Solanum lycopersicum: one gene and its partners. The protein of the gene in region 2 interacts with the protein of the main gene of each other region in a pairwise test. Links are inferred from orthologs where the notes say so. Each region holds a gene or a part of one and is shown on either strand. Other genes may lie near its edges.

Region 1 (6,081 bases), on a different chromosome or scaffold from region 2:
TTTTGCTGTAAGTCAACTTTCTGATTATGTGCTCAGATTATCTTCACTCCCTTGGGTAGGATCTGTCTAATGTAGTCTTGATTTGCAGTGTGTAAATCTTGTTCCCTTGCCTGTGCCGAGTGTCCAATCTGTCGGACTGAAATTGCAGATAGGATTTTTGTCTTTACTTGAGACGCCATTTCAAGTGCTTAAGCTATGGTGAAAGGTTGGTGGTTGTTTCATCGTGAATTCCCATTCTATTTTACAAATATGCATAAATTCTGAAGTCACAACTTGCAATAAGGTGCTTACTTTTCTCCCTCTCTTTGTAGGAGGGTTCTCTTCACACTTGTGAAACTCGCTTTCTCAGAACAATTCTTTAAATTGATCAACTGTATGTAATGTCAACAGTATACCTTTTTTTTCCCCACTTATCTACCAATCAACTGTAAATTAAGAAAGACACTGGGGACAAAGGACACGGTCGAATACTATTTGAACTCAGGGAGTTGCTTCTGTCCACAGTTTGATATCCTTGCACTTCAACTGTAGTATATAGAGAACACTACTGCAGTCACAATGTTGTGTCGTGTAAGTAAAAAAATTTTGAGCTTGTAGGGGCTATAATCTTGTTCTCTTTGGTCTGACATTTCTTTATTTGTTATTCCACATGGTATATTTCTTTTTGGTTTCTTGGTTATTCGGAATTTAAATCTTCACTTGGAATTGTTTTTTTGTTTTTCTACTAACTTGCCTTTCTTCAATGTCTTCAACATGTAATAATCAGAAGCTTTAACAAGCACGCCAGCTAGTCCGGTTTGTATATTCCTTAGGTGCAATGTGATATATGGACTACTTGGATTCCAATGATCATACATAGATAATCATACATAGATATTTCATAGGATATTTTAGGAGTGGGGTTTGTAGACAAGTTATATCAAAGATTTAACGCATAACTAATATGAATATTATTCCTACCGAACACTGTTAATGAATTTTTCCAGTAGAAGCAGAACATCCCATCACCCTCATTTAAAGAATATTCTCATATGAGCTTTTAGTAAGGTCACATGGATCGGTCTACTGCTATAGAACTCAATTGGGAATAAGGCATAGCCATGATACCATACTAACTTTAGACTATATTCAACGAGTCTTTCATGTTTAAACAATTTATGTACTAATATAGAGAAGCTCGAGTAGTACATAATCTAAAATTTTGAATATAAGATGAAATGTGTTCCAATACATAATCTAAAATGAATATTGAAAATTCATATTTGAACTAGTTATTTTGATTGTCATTGTGCATTAACGTGGTGTAGATTATAAATGATTGAACTGACATTGATTGCCTAGAAAGGTCGTCGTCGAAAATCTTGGATGCCATATCTTTGCATCAATCTTCCATAAATAATTGATTTGGCCATGAATACTTGAACAAATAGGAATACCATATTCAATAATCAAAGTGGGTAATAGGCACAAGGCTTTCCCACTAGCATTACAAAAAGATTGGCCTCCCACAAAGCAAAAAAACAAAAGTACCCACATCTAGTAATACCCATTCCCATTCAGGTTAACATACTGCAACAAGTCGAAGTGATTTGACTTGCAAAAAACAAATAACCAAAAAAAAAAAAAAAGAACAGTGGGGCTTTAACTTACAACATGTGTTACATGTCCAAAAACAAAGTAACTGGTCAAAGTTAGTAACCAAAAGAAAAGGTCAGATGGCAGTTTATATAACTCTTTTCTTAATATCTTAAAAGATATTATGCCCTTATTACCAAGTCTGTCCTATAAGTTGCTAGGTTGATGGAGAGTTGATCTGTGGAACAGGTACTCCATTTGATATTATGAGGTATCCCCACTTTAGTGGGGGAAAAAACTACACATCTGGTCGTACCTGATCAAAATTCTGCAATCAAACAGCATCATTTAGTTGCAAGTTCTGAAAATTTTATTATATTCAAAAATGGTCAAATATGTCATCAGTTAATAATATTGGTCTAAAATGCTCCTTTTTGTCAATAATTTGATCCAAAAATGCCCATATTTCGAGTTAATGACATTTTTAAATCCGTAAAAAAGAAACAGTTACCATAGGAAGAAGAAGAGGGATATTCAAGAAAATCTTCAACATGCCAACCAGGAAGAGTCTCAGTCAAATATTCTGATATGCTACTAGTTGAAACAGAACCCTCTTGTACATAATCAACATGAAAATAGTTATGTGTCGATTCTGTAGTACTCGAAATCGAATTACTCTTCATCCCAAAATTTCCACTAAGTGCTTTAAAATTATTTGTACCAGCATTACTTGCAGCAGATCCAGCTGGGGATATTGAATTTTGGTTATTATTATAATTAGAAGCAAGTATATCAGAAGATAGCTGCACTCCACTTAGAAGAAATCTGTTGTGTTTCTTTGTGTGTTCATTTGCTTTGTGTATAGGCAAGTCACATTCTTTGCAAAGTATTGCTCTATCTTCTTTACAAAATAGCAATGCACGTCTTTCCTGAAAATAAAATACAATAAGAAATAAATGTTAATTTTCTACATTATACACCATAAAATTAAATAAGTTCTACTATCAGCCCATATTTTATGCTCATCGCTAGTATATGTGTTAATAGATCATGATTTTTCCTCTCATGTTCTACTGAATTAGCTCACCGGAGGAAATGCATGGTATAAATAAATTATCACTATATTAGTCGGGAACTTCCTAATTTTTTCATATGATAACATTTTTTTCTCACTGATTCAATTAAAATATTTTTCAGTAGTAATTGTTGATTGTGCAAAAATTTTACACTGCAATATATTTCTCAGATGTTGTTAATAATTTGTTATCTCGAAAAATTACCTTCCTTAATTCAATTTTCTTCATCAGATCAAGTGACATTTTGACGTAATAATTTTAAATTGAGTGATCATCTGTGAAACCAAACTCGAATATTATTAGTACCTGGCAAATGTCACAAAGAGGAGAATCTTTGAACGAAGGATGAATTAGAGAAAAACGAAGATGTTTGCTTGCAAGCTTGTTGGCATGATGCACTTGATAATCACAGCTTTGGCAAAGTGTGGCTTCATCTGCTGAACAATAAACTGATGCCTCTTCTTTATCACAAACATCACATTGAATCTTCATTTTATTTTTCTTTTTAATATTTGTACTGTTTCCCTAAAGAGATGTATATATAGTTAGAAACTTAGAATAGAAGAGAGTAAATTTGGGAAAAAGACAAAATATTATGGGCACAAAGGGAGTTGTGTTCGTTGTGGGCTCACACCTAAAGTCTCTGAAGAGTTTCAGAAAATATATTAAAATTTCTCTTTCAATGACTGAATAAAGAGAAATCTCTGGAAATAAAAGACAATGGCTTCTATAATGTCCAAATAAATGTAAAGACAAAATAACCAAACAAGTTGCCTTTTTTTTAAAAAAACACTTTATAAAAAGCTTTCGCACTCTCACCACTCAATGGTTCAATTATATTCTAGCCTTAGTTGATGAGCTACTATACATTTGACAATTCGATCAAAATCATTTATCTTAAAAAATTCTTTTTGATAATAAATGACGGTGAGATGGTTGAACGCTATATACAGACACAAACTTATCCAAACATTACCATTACATTTATTATTATTTTATTTTTTTTTAAAAAAAAGACATAATCTTTAGCAAGCAGTTATTTTGATGCGTGAAAATGTGGGCATTGGTGCATGGGATAGGATGAAGCTGTTATTATCCCATTTATTGATATTGATTGATCGATACGGTGATACCCTCTTAAGCTTTGAAATTGGAAAATGGAAATTAACATATGTAAAAGGTAGATCTTTATAAATATTTTGGTACAAGCTAAGCCATTTATATTACTTGGTTAGATAGATCTACCTAGTCAAATATTTGTGTAATAAGATCAAGCCATTTATATTAGTGTAGATATTTCCAAATTATTTAGGAAGAGTACCAAAATAATAAATATTTATCAAATATAATTGGCATAGAGAGGGGGACATGGAATATGTATAAATGCTAAAGTATGTCAGTTTATGGGCAAACAAAGCCAGTTGCTTTCACTTTAATTAGTTTTTCTTGCAGAAATTAAAAGGGGTGGGTGGGGTTTGGCTGGCTTTGACAGCTACTATTTGAATTCACATCTTATTAGGGTTAAACCTAATAATATCAACTGATGATTGTATAACATATGGCTACACTTAATAAGTGCTATTTACCCCTATATAGATGATCTAGCCAGCCAGCCTCTCTTTAAAATCTTTTGTTAAATCCTATTTTTGAATTTTTTTTTTAAGTCAACAAATTATTATTTTGAATTTTCACTCGATGTTTGATACCTATTTTGAGGTCTCGATCTTTTAAATTATATTGTGGAGATTCATTAGGGGAAAACGCACATCGCCAATAACAAAAGCGATCGAGTAGAGGAGAAATAGATACTTGTTGTCTCCATAGCCCTGGGGTTCTGTCTAGGTCTCCTATGTGCGAAACATAAGGGACTAGTTCTAATAGAGATTCCCCTTGGTCTAATTCCACGCGTAATAAAGGAGTCGGCGTGGCATAAAATGTAAAGTGAAGTTTTGGGGAGTAGAAAAAATTCCCTTACAGGGTATTTCGAAAGTGTAACCTAGGCAACGGAAAAGGGACCCGATAATTCAACTGGAGGAGCGACTCTTTGATACACCAAACCCTAATAGGAGATACTTTCTTCGGTCCAATTAGTAGTATTCAAGGTTCAAATCTAAAACCAAATAGTTATGTGATTAAATTATAGTACCATTTAGTTTGTTATTTGGTTGACAAGTTCGGAATAACTTATCCCGGAATTAATAATTAGTCTCTGGATAAGTTATCCCTCCCTTTGGGTGGTATAGTAATCCTTAGATAAAATAATTAAATGACCAAAAATATCTCTTTCAACCCTTTTATTACATTACTTTTTACATACATGAAGGTTATTTTTATAAACTAATAAATTGTTTTTAAAATTTATTTATTTTGAATACAACAAATCAAAAACTCAATAAAAAATAATCTCATCATAATTTATCCAATCATAACTTGAATTCAAACGATTATGATCCAATCATAACTTGAATTCAAACGAAACGACAGTTATATGTGGAGGGATCATATTAATCCCAGTGATAATTTTACAAAAAGGTTGAAAAATTGGTGAAAGGTGGAGGGATCATATTAATCATAGTGATAATTTTACAAATTAAAAGGTTGAAAAATGACCAATTTTGAATGATTGGTTACAATGGACGAGTTGACAATGTTGGAGGTATGTAAAAGTTCAAACAAATAAGTATTTTTGAAGTTTGAAAAGGTAAAAGACAAATTTTTCTAATTTCAAGATTCAAACAGAAAAAGAAACAATTATGCCAAATACGACTTAATCAAGCTTTTCAAATTTAATTGACTTTGGCATATGAAAATTCGATGGTTGCTGTGTAAATGGCCTACATTATTAATTAGTTCACACTTGAAGCTTTTCTAAAATGGAACTTGAACATTTGTTTACTTCAATATATATCTTCATCTTGAACAAAGTTCTATATGATCGCATTATTATGATTTTGGGTTTATCTATAGATTTATTGCATTGTTATTTTGAATTTATTTGAATATTTATTCCATGTCACTTACGTCATTCGTTATTCATAGTTAACAAAATTTTATCGACTCTAATAATACTACTAGTTATGGGCTAAAATAACTACTAAATAAACGAGTTGAAATAATATTATTCATCCTTTGCTCAAGTTTACAATGTTTTTTCTCAAAAATCCATATTAATACGACTTAAAGAGTATGAATGTGAAATAATCAACTTTCAAATTATGTCCGATCCAAATACAATATATATTTAAGAACAAATTTTTAAAAAATAGTTCTTTCCACCTTATAATTAGTTTATGATGTTAGCCAGTTATTAATTATTGGCTTATTAAATCCTTGTTAGAGCTGTTGATTTTGGATTATTAAATCTTTTGATCATGGAGTGGGTGGAAAGGTTGGAGAAAGAATAATTAAATATTGTTCTCATAGAAAAGAT
Region 2 (7,086 bases):
TTTATTTGTAAAGTTACTTTTAACATCTTTTTCTTTAATTTCAATCTAATATATATTATTAATTTTATCACACAAATTTATTTTCAAGTATATTAATTAGATAAAAAATAAAGATTGAAATAACTAATTCGTGACATTTTTATAATAAAAGTAGGTTTTTAAAGAAGCATAATGAATAGAAAAATTATTAAGAATAAAATTAAAGTAATAGTAAAATAGAGTAATAATAAAGTAGATGGCACAATAACTCGTAAAAGAAATAAAAAGAAAATGAAGTAATAATAAAGTAGATGGCACAATAACTCGTAAAAGAAATAAAAAGAAAATGAAGTAATAATAAAGTAGATGGCACAATAACTCGTAAAAGAAATAAAAAGAAAATGAAGTAACAATAAAATAAGTTAATGGTAATAACAATTACTTAAGATGTTTCTAAAATTATTTAATATTTTTGTTAGCGTGAAATTACATTTTTGCCATTCATCATTATTCATTTCAAATATAGAAAGATAATTCTAAAATTATTTATTATCTTTCTTCATAGATTTTTGTTAGCGTGAAATAAATTTAACACATAATCGACCTATAATAGATATCACAATAACTCATACAAAATATGAGTTGATAACAAAATGTGAATAGAAATAACATTAGTTTCTTGTAATTATTCTTGGTAGATATTTGTAAATATGAAATTGAAGTTTTACCCTAAGGAATTTAATTTGTATATATATGATAACGTAAGGAATTAAATTTATACATATATGTAATTGAAAAATAATCAAATAGGACTTCACCTCTTTCTTTTTGCTCTTTGGACCTAAATATTTAGGTTCGTCATTTCTTTGTTTTTATTGTACATTGTCAAAGGAGCAATCAGGTTTTGGATCAATTCCATTGCATGTATGCAAACCTAACAATTTAACTAGTTAACACAATCAACGAATTTTAGGTTAAGACAAATTTGAATGTACCTAATTGGTTTTCAATTGCACAAATTCTTTTACACCGAGTCTTATCAGTACATCGATTTGGTTTTTAATAAAGATTTCAACTCACTAGGGAACGCTAGCAAAGGTTATAGGTAATTGTAGCATATATCATCCAAGATTAGTCCATGCAACTTACCAAAGGCTGGTGACTTTAAGAATAGCTTAGCCACAATCCTTCACTCTCTGCTGATAATATATAACCGACAACGGTTAAGAGTAGCAAGTATGCAATGCATCAAATCAGAACAATCCACCCGAAACTAGCATGCATTCTCAAATCCAGAAGAGAATTTCTCTTCAGTGCCTACATAGGATCTAAACAAGAATGCTGACATATCGACATAAGATCGATCATATGTCTACTTCCTCCCTTCCTGTGCACCTGCTGTTGTGTTCTTCAGTATCTGCAGATTATAACAAAAGAAGTCAAACCCCAAATATACACCGTTTTCTTTTTGGCCATCTCTGAAGAAAGCAAATTTACAGCATGGAAAGATTGAAGCATTTGAATTCCTTTTTGTGTGGTCTTTGGAGATTCTTATAGGCGGATTGGATATGCAATATGAAATCATGAAAGTTGATGTTTTGTCAATCAGGTCAATGGCATTCCAACAATTAGATGTTTAATCATGATAAATCCAAGATTTGACTGATAGTCACATAGAGTTGTTATTTCTAAGTTGTCTTTATTGATTTTCAGCAAGACTCATCTTATAGTTATTCTACTAGATAAGTACCAATCTTAACCGGCAAGAGGGGAAGTGTATAAGAAAGGGTTAATATGAAATAGCCACGCCTGTGACTTAAATACAGGCTGAAAGATGTGTATAGATACAACACATGCTCAAGGTCGAAATTTATAGGAACCGGTTACTGGTATTACATGTTCATGCAGACAAGCCTTGAGAGTTTTACCCAAGTAATCTCTACACTTCCCAATTAACATGAGCGTAGTTCTTAGATTTACTACAAGGTAATAACTAAGAGTAGAAAGCTGACATCATATATCATGGATGATTACGCAATTCTTTACATCTCTCGCTACCAGATATACTATGGAAGATACAAGAACACTTCATTCATACATTATATGTTCAGCTTAAATGCTCTGTACACATATGATGGGCAGTATAATGCATATTGGGGAATATAGAAGGTGAGAAAGCTTCCATGCTTTGATCTATGTTCATACGCTAGTACATTTCTACTGCACATAAATTACATAATACTAATGTAACTTCAGGAGGCTGAAGTCACAGCATATTGTTGATAATTCATAGTTTGTCTCCTCGTCTTCAATGTTTAATAAATAATTGATGGGACATAACAAAAGCCCGATATAAGAGTGAGCTAAACCAAAGAAATGACTGAGCTTATAAATTGTTTCTGGATAATCCCCCCATTCATCTAATTTATTTTTAAGGCTGCTTTCCCGCACCTTAACTAATTACCCGAGATACCTATCATCACCTCCAACCAGCATCAAATACCAGGTAACTATATTCACCAAGGCTAGAACATACAGAAACAATCACCTAGTAGCTCTTTTACTCTATTGAATTTGAACTTGAGATCTCATGGCTCTCAACTTCTTCATTGAACAATAGACCACAACTTTTGGTGCTATACTCTATTCAAGTATATTGGTCCGTTATCCAAGAAAATGGGGTGATTGACGAGGATGTCACTCACTGTATTGGTGCAACGTGTATGACATAGAGACTTGCATCTGAGTTGCTAGTGATAAGAAGGTTCCACCAAAACATAAAGAGAAATTCTACATAGTGACGGTTAGACCAACTATGTCGTATGGGGTTGAGTATACAGGGGCATATCTAGAGGGGGTGTCATGGGTTCACATGAACCCATGCTACCATCTCTAGATCAAATATAATAGTGTTATATTTTAAGAAAAATATTTAAATATAGATGTGTGAACCCACAGTTAAAGTATCGTATAATAATATGATGACGATGATTGGGTGCACCTCTGTGAGGATAGAAATTAAAATCTTAGATATCTATCTTGTCTTTTTAAGTAGCACCTCTACAAGTAGTTATTGGTTATATACTTTTAGCGTTTTAACTAATTTTTCTTCTTTTTTTTTCCTTAATTTTTTCAAAAATTTTGAAGTGTATTACATTAAAAATTCCTAAAAAATATTTTATATGTATAATTAAATCAAATGTGTGCATTAAAATTTAAACTAGTAGTATTATATATTTTGCACCTACAATTTTAAAAGTTTAATGGTTTTATATTAGAAACTTTAAAGTCAAATTGATCAAATTTATATTTAAGATGCATTTTATTCGTAATTGTGCATCCATTTTGCCGAAATCCTGAATACGCCTTTGCAAGTACATGTAGTTGAGCACTCTCACGTTCAAAAGATGAAAGTTGTGGAAATGAAGATATTGTGATGGATGTGTGGACACATATACTAGGAGATATAGAATAAAATCAGGACAGTTGAAACAAGCTGAGTGTGGTTTCGAAAGAGAATAAGATGCGGGAAGAGATTCAGATATGTGAAGAGAAAGATGCACGAATGTAGAAATGCGGGGGGAGGTGAGAGTTTGGCTGTGAATGGATTCAGTAGAAATAGAGGTAAGTGGAAGAAGTATCTGAATAGTAATTAGACCGGACATGGCACACGTTCAAGCATATAGGATATATAGATGAACAATTCTATTGCAAAAATAGAAGTAGAGAGAAGAATGTTTACATGTCTAAGCATTTGGTTCTCATTTTGCAAAGTAGACAACCTCTCTTCAAGTTCTGCATTCTTTGTTTCCAATTCCTTCACCCTTGCTTCCAGATCTATCAAATATGCTTTCTTCCTCTCCCTTGCTTGTTGTGCTGATACTCTATTTCTCAACAATCTTTTTCAACCCCACCAAAAAAAAATACAATATTAACTAAAATGCCACTGCTATCCAAAAAAAGAAAGTGTGGAAGCCCATAACATGTGACAAGTAGATACACCTACGTGGCATGATGTTTAAGGTTTTTACCTTTTTAACCTTTTGTTTTCTTTGTCAGCTGGGCTTCTTCCTCTCTTCCTTTGAGTCCCAGCTGATGGTTGAGCTTGACCGGCGGCCGATACTCCATCTCTTCCAGAAGCTGACGTTGTCCCCGTCGCTTCTCCGCCCATCTCCGGCACTCTTCTGATCTCATCATCACTCTCCATACCTTCACAAAAAAACACAAAATGTTTTTTAAAAACTATTTCAAAATCTCAACCATACCTAACCCAAAACAACACATTCTTCAAAAAATTACTCCATAAATTCGTCAAAATTAAATGTTAAAAAGCTGGATTTAAATTTTTTTTAAAAAAGATTACCTTCTTTGAGTTCATGATGTAAAGCTGAACTAGATGATCTCTCACTACTTGAAGGTAGTGAACTAGCGGCAATAGAACTCGTCGCTTGCTCTTGCATTTTTCTCTACACTTGAAAAAAACACTAAATTAAGGGAAAAGTACAGTTTCGTATTTTATTCAGAAAAGAAATAGCGGGACATGAATGTTAAACAAGGAGGGGAGAGAAAGAGAAGCACCTCTATGGAATAATAATCGTTGGATCAGTTTCATATCGGACGGATATAAAGAGGTGATCGTGGATGCTTTAGAAGCCATAAGTTGTCGGCTTAATCAAAGGTTCATACGTAACTGTCGTGGACAAATGGCAGCCTTTCGATTTGATAGTATTAACGGCTATGATTAATTATTCTTAAAACTTTTAAGTAGGTACAACGCATCGGGACCATTTATTTTTGCTGGTTTAATAAAAAGTGCTATTGTTATTACCGTTTTGCCCATGATAGATATTTTATCCACTCCATCTATCCACTTTCAAGAATTTTTTATACTTTCCCCGTCTCTTATTTATTTATTTATTTATTATAAATCAAATATAATTAGAGACGTTAAATAGGTTGGTCCAATCAAATTTTAATGGATTAGAGAATTGTTGGGCGGGTTAGTTATTTAATTAAAGGATCAATAAAATAACAATTTAAATCAGTCATAAGCAGGCCACGGATTGGAACGGATTGACCCTTCAACCAAAAAATAAATAATATTATTCTCTTAAAAAGAATATCGAATGTTTATGTCTATAAACACGACATCAATTTAAATAAAAAATCCTTTATAAATGACACACTTCGGCGAATACTCACAAAAATACATTTATGAATCACACGCTTTGGTGAATACTTACAAAAATACATAATAGCCAACATAAGATTTAATGGATAAATTTTGATCATTCCATCATTTCTCCCACAAAAAACTAGTTTTCAGCAACAAGGCAGCCTAAATACTTAACAAATCTGAATCTCTAACTATTACATGACTCATTAATTAATGTTTTACAACTCCGCTTTAATTTCCACCGTCGAACATATTTGAATCAACATGTGATATTATTTCCTTAAGAAGTCCATCTTCATCTACACCAAGAATATGATATTGCAAAATACTTGATTTTTTTATTTTTGCAAAATATTTAATTATTAATGAAATCTTTACAAATAAAACATTATTAAAAATATATATATAAATATTTTTAAAAATTAATAGCCCACGAACTCGACTCTGAGGTTTACAGGTTGGATACGAGGCCAACGGGGCAAATGGGGCGAGCTAAAAAAGTCTCATTTATAAATGAGTCAAAAATATTAAGCTCAACCCAACTTATTTCAAGGTTGGGTTGGGCTGGCTTCGTGGGTCAAGCATTTTTTTACGGCTCTAAATATGACCCGTAGCTCCATTATATATATATTTATATATTATGAAATATATATGTATTAGCGTACGAATTTAATATTTATTCATAAATTAATTTATGTTATAAATTCATTGAATAAGTGGATAGTCCATAAAGTTAGTACATGAACAATCATTCATATTCACTAGGTTTCATAAACCTTTTTGGATAAGAATGTATCTATTTATTATGATACTTAATATGGTGACTTTTGGAGTGATTTCTCACTTTATAAATAGGGTTGTTCATTCACTATTGTAGGACACACATATGATACTTACATATACTTGAATAAGAAAAAGTATTCTCCTCTATCTTATACTTCTTGTCTTCTTCTTCTTATATAATATTCCGAGCTTTCTTTATAATACGTTACCAGCACGAGTCTCTTCCAGTTCAAGTAAAGACTTTAAAAGCCTCGGAGGTATAAATTTCCTTTTCTTAAATAATGTCTAATCTTTCTAAACTTGGATTTCTTGCTGTAGACATATCGGGAAAAAACTATCTATCATGGGTACTCGATGCAGAAATTCATCTTGATGCGATGGGTCTACAAGACATCATCCAAGAAAATAATCAAGCATCGAATCAAAATCGTGCTAAGGCGATGATATTTCTCCTTTATCATCTTCATGAGGGTTTGAAAATGGAATATCTCATTGTTAAGGATGCTCTGATGTTGTGGAACAATTTAAAAGATAGATATGACCACCTGAAGTTGGTCGTCCTTCCACAGACACGTTATGACTAGATCCACTTGAGACTTCAAGATTTTAAATCTATTAGTGAGTATTACTCTGTCATGTTTAAAATTATCTCACAATTAAAATTATGCGGAGAAAATATCATTGACCATGATATGCTGAAAAAACGTTTTCCACTTTCCCTATCTTGAGTATGCTTCTGCAGCATCAATACCGAGAATTGAGATTTAAAAAGTATTCTGAATTAATTTCACATCTCCTTGTTGCTGAATAACATAATGACTTATTGATGAAAAACCATGATAGTCGACCTACTGGTTCTATGCCATTTCTTGAAGTAAATACGGTAAATTTTCACCAATCTAAGCGTGAAAAAGGTCGTGGCCCCAGTCGTGACCGTGGTCGAGGAAGAAATTTCAATCATGATGATCGTCTTGCACTAAATAATAACATTCAATACCAGCAGTGTAAAAAGAAGAATGAAAAACATGACGTAGTGCAGAAGAAAAATTCAGACGACAAATGTTATCAATGTGGAGGAAAAGCACATTGGCCACGTACCTGTCGTACGCCAAGGCACCTGGTTGAGCTATATCAAGCTTCCCTGAAGG
Region 3 (6,821 bases), on a different chromosome or scaffold from region 2:
ACAGTATTAGGTAATGATTTCTCATTTATTCAAATTTTGGTGCATATTCAATACATATATGATTATACCAATGAATAAAAAAAATCACATATTTTTTTAAATACTTTTAAAATCTGATTTTCAATATCAGTCATTGCCACATCAAATCGTTTCGTATAAATTCCATCGGAATAACAAGTGATTGAACTTGTAAATAGGAAAGTCTATTGAAATTTAATCATTTTTCGTATTTATTAATTTAAAAAAGAAAAAGTATTTTAATACTTGATTTTGACTCTTTACATAGATATTATCTAACATATAATCTTTCTTTTGGCTTCTATTAAAAAAAAAAAGAAGATCTTTTTCGGATAAAGTATTCTAATGGATATTATTCTTGTCTTTTTATTGATATTTTTTTATAGGACTATAGTAATATATATAAAATAACAAAATATCATTGGGAGTAGATACAATAAAATCGTTAACAGTACCCACATCCAGCTCAGCGGGTCACCATTATAAACCCGACACGTTCTCTCAAAATCAACCATTTCTTTATTTTCCCCCAAATTTCTCAGAAAGCTCACAGTTTATTCGTTTCATTTACTGCATAAACCCATTTTTGCAACTTCCAGATCTTTTGCTTCTTCATACGTCGGAGTGCTGAAGAAGTGATGAAGATTCAGTGTAATGTTTGTGAGGTTGCGGAGGCGAACGTGTTGTGCTGCGCCGATGAGGCGGCGTTGTGTTGGTCGTGTGATGAGAAGGTTCATGCTGCTAATAAGCTTGCTAGTAAACATCAGAGAGTTCCTTTATCTGGTTCTTCTTCATCTATGCCTATGTGTGATATCTGCCAGGTATGTAATTGTACTCAGTGAATTGAATGGATTCTGTGGATATTGCTATTCGGATTCAGCTGTGTCAGTTGTATTTACTTTTATTTGTTTTGGAGTAGCGTAAATTAGACGTAGATAAAGTTGTATTTTTTTTTTACTTTTTTGGTTTTTTTTTAGTAGTATAAGTTAATGATAGGTATTGTGGGTTTATTGATACTACTGTTTATAGAATAATAACAATATTTCTTAGTGTAATTCCACAAGTGGCGTCTGAGGGTGGTATGTATGCAGCCTTACTCTTATCTTGGGAAGGCGGTGAGACTGTGTATGATCCTTGGCTCAAGGATGAAAATACAGTCTTGATGAAAATAATGGAGAAAAGAACAGTAGTTGGAATAAGTAATATCAATGATTGAGGCAAAGGAAGCAATATGTAATGATAAAATCATAGACTAAGCTTGTATGGGAATAATAAAAATGATACTAATAAGGGAAACTTGCAGTATAAGCACTATGTCTAGGTCCTAGTCAACTTGAACCTATTGCATTTCAGAGTCTGTCTTACAACCTCCAGCCTACGGTTAACTCCGTTGTGTGTCTATTCAATCAATACTATGTTATTTGCAAATAGCATATACCATGGCACCTCCATCAGATATGTTGCATCAGTTCATCCATCACCAGACAAATTAAAACGGGCTTAAGTTGATCTATGTTGCAATCCCGTCGTGACTTGAAAGTGTTCCTAGTCTCTTCCCACTTCCGTACCCAGATCTTGGCTCCACCGTATCTGTCCTTATTCGCCCTAATGTAAGCTATGGGTACACCTCTACCCTCCAAACATCTTCACACATGACACAACCTCCTTAGGACCTTGTTGTACATACTTCTAGTTTAATGAACACCATATGTAAGTCCATCTTCCTCTCCCTATACTGACAGCCCTTCACGCCTCATCTCTACCACCCTCTCTTAAATTTTTATATTGTGACTTTGCAACTTGATACCCCTATGGTTGTCATATTTCTGTAATCTGTACATATCCCTTGTTCTTGTAAAACGAGATCATTGTACTCCACCTCTTTTGTTCGGGCAATTTTTATGTTCTAAAAATGACGGTAAACAATCGAGTTAGCCACTACATGCCTGATACTACTGTATATGTGTCTTAAAAATTTCAAGTGCTACTGAACTAATTCTTTTGTTTTGTGGAAAGATATGCAAGTAAAGTTAAAATCGAGGTGCAAATCTAATTTCTTTTAATCATGTTGTTTCAATAGAAATTGCATATTTGGTCTTTGCTTACCTTGATGTCCCACCCCTTCCCTTCAAAAAATAAAAAGGAAACCCACAGAAGAGGCAGGGAAGAACAAAATAAAGAAAGGAGATTAGGGGTATTCCTTCCTGCATGCATTATGAAGATATGCAGATCTTTTTCACGAATGGATATATGGAGGTCTAAGTTAAATATTATGCTGCCTTCTTGATTGGTTATGGTTCCATGAAAAGCTGCTGATTCATGGAAATTAATGTAGGATATGGTTTGCATATGGCATGTGGAGGGCTCATCTAGAGGTTCTTAATGTTAAACTATGGGCTACCCTTTTCCCTTATTTGGCAGTCCTTTTGGGCAAGAGATTAAGGAAGCAAGAGGTGATAGATTCCTACTTTTCTGCTTAGAGGTTTCTCAACATCTGTTTATAAGATATACTGAAATGCATTATCGGGTGATCCATGTTATAGGAATAAAAGTGGAATTCGAGATGTAATGACAGAATTCAGTCCAAACATGTGATCATCAGAAGAAAGTGTATTACACATATCAAGAAGGACAACCAATTGTGATTACTTGTTGTTCACATAAGGGTTCATGGTTAAGGATCGTTTATTGTTCACTTTCTCCTGAAGAGGAAAAACTGAGGTTGAGTCCAGTCTCCTTTATTAATTTATCTTATTGAAAAAGGGTGAAAAAAGAGGTCTTGGGATGGGGGGAGAAGGTGAGGTGATGGTGCATTTACCTCTTATAAAGGAGAAACCTAATCTGGAGCCTTAGCCATAACCTGTTCTCCAGTTCATAATTATGAATATTCATAGAGAGAAAACTATTGTTAACTTTTGCAACCCACACCTTTGCTTTAGGGGGGATCCACTCCATGTTTCAAAAAACATATAGAAGCTCAGTTAGAGGTTGAAAATGTTAGTATCACATAGGATTAAATGTGCCTGTTCAGATTGTAATGCTTACGCAATCATCTGGAGTGCTCATGATATCAAATCATGAACATTACTGGCCTTTTATTCTATTGTAAGTGCAGATATTAATCACGTTAAGGAGTTTGTGGTTATTAGTTGGACTCATACTGTTGCATGAAGCATAAGTTACCATTTGGCATAGCGGAAGTGATTGCATCTTTCTCTTCTGGAGATTTGATTTGATAGCTGAGGTTTTTATTTTCCTTTTCCTTTGTGGACCCAAAACTGTTATTTCCCAAGTTTATGAAATTCTGCTACCTTCTAATAAGAGTCCCTTCACTTCTGTGCTTCAGTGTGACTTTAGATGTATACAATTCATGTTTATTTATCTATCAATTTCTTTTTTCCTTTTTTAAATTGGTCATATCTCCAGTTTATTGGTGCCGTACTATTCTGAGTATTGATAAAAAGGATTCTATTTATGCAGGAAACAGTTGGCTATTTCTTTTGTCTTGAGGATCGGGCATTACTTTGCCGAAAATGTGATATTGCTATTCACACAGCTAATCCTCATGTTGCTGCTCACCAAAGATTTTTGCTGACTGGAGTGAAAGTAGGACTTGAACCTGTTGATCCTGGTGGTATTTCATCCTCAGGGACATCACAGTCCATTCAGAAGGTTTCTGAGCCAGAGTCTGCTCCACTTTCAAAACGGAATGCCTCAGTATCATTGGATGCTCAATTTAACAAAGTGTTACCTACCCAGGTCAGTGGCATTGAGGATTTTGCTCCTACTAAGTCTCCGTTTGCTGGAGGTTCTGCAGCTGGAAGTATGCCACAATGGCAGTTCGATGAATTTATTGGTCTGAGTGATTTCAATCAAAATTATGGATACATGGATGATGGATCATCTAAGGTACGGTTTAAGTTGTAGTTGTTGTTTGTAGTTTTCACAATTGAAATTAGATGAATTTCTTGGACTGCATTTTAATCAGAAGTATGGGATGGATGACTGATTACTTGAGGTATTATTTAGATCTTACTTTTCATGAATATCTTGGACTGCATCTGTATTTCTGATATTGGATTATCATCCAAAAGAGAAAAATCCCTGATGGAGTCTATTCCTGCCAGTAATGTTGTGTGGCATGCATGCTCTGTTATCTATACTTAAGGGTTTAAGTCGTAAGCGTGTATTTTCCCCTACAAGAAACCAAAGAATAATCTTCATCTAAAAACATGGAACTGGAAAAATGAGTTTATGGTTGGATTATCTGTTGGTAGGACCACTTTATGCATATACTGGTAGCCCCAACCCAATCTTTTGATTGGACAGACATTTTGCCACGAACTTGCCCTTCCCCTTCATATGACAAACTCATAGGTGATAAAGATTGTTGGAGTATTACCATATTGGTGATATCGCACTTCGCCAAGTAAATTTGGGCCTCTCAAATGCTTGGAACTCCGAGTCTCGATTAGTGTTGAATATAGACATTCTAAAGTGCACCATTATTATTAGCATGTGGCTGGATCACAACCTTGCTTAGGGTTGTGACAAAATAGAAGCAGCTTTAGCTATTGCATCATGCCCTTTTGTTTTGGGCATTCATGCTACAGAAAATATGCCTTGGTGTTAAGTCACATTATTGTTTCTATGGGTGCTTAGTATATGAAGATACATTTTCGACCTTATGGTTGCTAGATATGACTAGTCAATTATTTTCTAAAAAGAAATATTCGGTATATCGCTTGCCTCTTTGCTATAAGTAGAATGCATGGATATACCCAGATAATCAATAATTTGCACAGGGATTATGTTCAATGGCTTCTAAATTAGTTCCTCCATTAAAATCTATCAGGCGGATAATGGCAAACTTGGTGGAGAGTCGGACTCTTCATCAATCTTAAGAGTTGAAGATGAAGAACTAGATGGTGATGAGTGCTTGGGTCAGGTGCCAGACACATCTTGGGCAGTGCCACAAGTTCCTTCCCCACCTACGGCCTCTGGACTTTACTGGCCCAAAACTTACCAGAATCCGTTCGACTCTGCAGTGTTTGTGCCTGACATTAGTTACTCCCCTTCATCGAGCCTTCAACAACAACCTCCAAGTGGTACTCGTCTGAAACGAAGAAGGCAGTGTTAATGCACTTTAAGCTTCTTCGCTCACGTTTGTGATAGGTGATTCAGATCCCTAAGCTGTTCACTCATGTTAGTGATAGGTGTTGCAGATCCCTAAGCTCTTCACTAAAGTTAGTGATAGGTGTCTAGATAGAGCGGTGTGTGGTAGTTGAAATTTGATTTTAAAGTTGTTTCCGCAATGATTATTGTGTGTTTCTCCAATGTAAGTAACCTGCACTGTCTGCTGCAGTTACATAGAATGCCAAAAGTGTATTAGTTCCACTCCAATTCCCAGAAGTTGTACAAGAAAATGAATTTGTGTAAAACTGGAACCAGAGAAAAATGACCAGTGTATCATCTTAATTTACCTCCTCTTCACTTTTTCTCCTAGTCGATTTGAAATTGCATATTAGAAATGTGCATTTTAGTTCAATTTGTTGAATATTTGTATTCTAGCCCATCATCGACAATAATATATTCAGTGTAATTCCACAAGGGTTGGAGACAGTAACATGTATACAGACCTTACCCTTACCTTTGTGTCGGGTAGAGAGGTTATTTCTGATGATTCTTTGGTTTCCCCCACCCCACCCAAAACACACACATAGTAAAGGAGAATTCAAACATCTAGCGTCACAAGTTATATGAATATCTACATTATCATGCATTTAATGCATTGTTTACCCATATTAAATATAGACGGGTCAGGCGTTTGATTATTTTTTTTTGGTCTTAACCTATTTTCAACCCGTACAGGATCCCTTCATTTCCCAATAGCCTCATGATGCGTTGTTAAAAGTGGCTGGTCCAAGCTTTGCTTATCTTTGTATAAAATCATATTCAAAGTGGATGAAGTTAGTTATAAGTGGTCGAAATCAAGAGGCAGCTCATTTGCATTGGTACCTACTGTCAATTATTGTATAGAAGAGCTGTAAAAGCTCTACTATTTGCTAATCTAATGTTAACACATGCCTTTGCCTAACCTAAGGCCCCCCCCCACATGGGAGAAATTTGCAAATTTAGGCTTCCAACTTAAGTAAATAAGTAGACTTTGACATATATATATATATATATATATATATATATATATATATATATATATATATATAAAAACACGTGAAATGGTTGCATTAGGCTTCGAGTTGGAGAGTACTTATTGGAAAAGGGGGTTCAACTGAACTCTCCTCGATCTCTGTCTGTTTTCTAGATTTGGAAAAGCGTAGATTTTTCAAGAATGAGAATCATATGATATGTTGGAAATTTCTTATGATATCTTAATGCGTGAAAGTTAGATAGGATAATGCTATGTCCACTTAGACAAATTCAGATATTCAAGAATTGCCAGTTGTGTTATAAATTAAACAGGTCTAGTTTAAGAAATTATCAATATGTAAGATGCTTTATTTGGATTATGTTGATTTCGTCAATGTTGATCCCAAACTCTATAGCATGTTTGGAATAAAATTTCCGACTTCGTCATAAACCATAAGCAAAAAAACACATTGGTTTTGCATTGAGCAATGGTTCAAAGTTTTGGCGTAGTGGTATAATCCGACTGGCCTTATAAGTTTGCTGATAACATAAACTGTTCTTTTAGATGCTTTAAAAAGCCTTAAAAGACATAATAAACGTGCTAGCCTTTTACTTTACGAATCTTTAATAAAATAGTTGTGGTTGCCCATCATGTG

What was found.
Region 1: the proteins of HY5 (region 2) and BBX20 interact in binary tests that used the Arabidopsis thaliana proteins (3 or more experiments, as listed by UniProt). The link is inferred for Solanum lycopersicum from reciprocal best matches to the Arabidopsis thaliana genes HY5 and BZS1.
Region 3: the proteins of HY5 (region 2) and B-box zinc finger protein 22 interact in binary tests that used the Arabidopsis thaliana proteins (3 or more experiments, as listed by UniProt). The link is inferred for Solanum lycopersicum from reciprocal best matches to the Arabidopsis thaliana genes HY5 and LZF1.

What each region holds. Positions count from the first base shown.
Region 1 is NC_090800.1:93,030,620-93,036,700, reverse strand, and holds BBX20 (B-box zinc finger protein 20), read right to left. Parts: upstream 3,281-6,081; 5' UTR 3,144-3,280; coding exon 2,958-3,143; intron 2,505-2,957; coding exon 2,013-2,504; 3' UTR 1,904-2,012; coding exon of another isoform or gene 1,896-1,903; 3' UTR 1,873-1,895; downstream 1-1,872. Other genes in the region: kinesin-like protein KIN-7D, mitochondrial, read left to right, coding at 1-7, 89-171. UniProt on the Arabidopsis thaliana protein: Acts as a positive regulator of seedling photomorphogenesis. Plays a negative role in brassinosteroid responses.
Region 2 is NC_090807.1:48,172,171-48,179,256, forward strand, and holds HY5 (transcription factor HY5), read right to left. Parts: upstream 4,502-7,086; 5' UTR 4,440-4,501; coding exon 4,343-4,439; intron 4,189-4,342; coding exon 4,011-4,188; intron 3,879-4,010; coding exon 3,722-3,878; intron 1,397-3,721; coding exon 1,352-1,396; 3' UTR 964-1,351; downstream 1-963.
Region 3 is NC_090806.1:67,407,330-67,414,150, forward strand, and holds B-box zinc finger protein 22, read left to right. Parts: upstream 1-2,065; 5' UTR 2,066-2,128; coding exon 2,129-2,274; intron 2,275-2,353; coding exon 2,354-2,471; intron 2,472-3,498; coding exon 3,499-3,927; intron 3,928-4,873; coding exon 4,874-5,158; 3' UTR 5,159-5,500; downstream 5,501-6,821. UniProt on the Arabidopsis thaliana protein: Acts as a positive regulator of seedling photomorphogenesis and light-regulated inhibition of hypocotyl elongation, independently and in concert with HY5 and BBX21.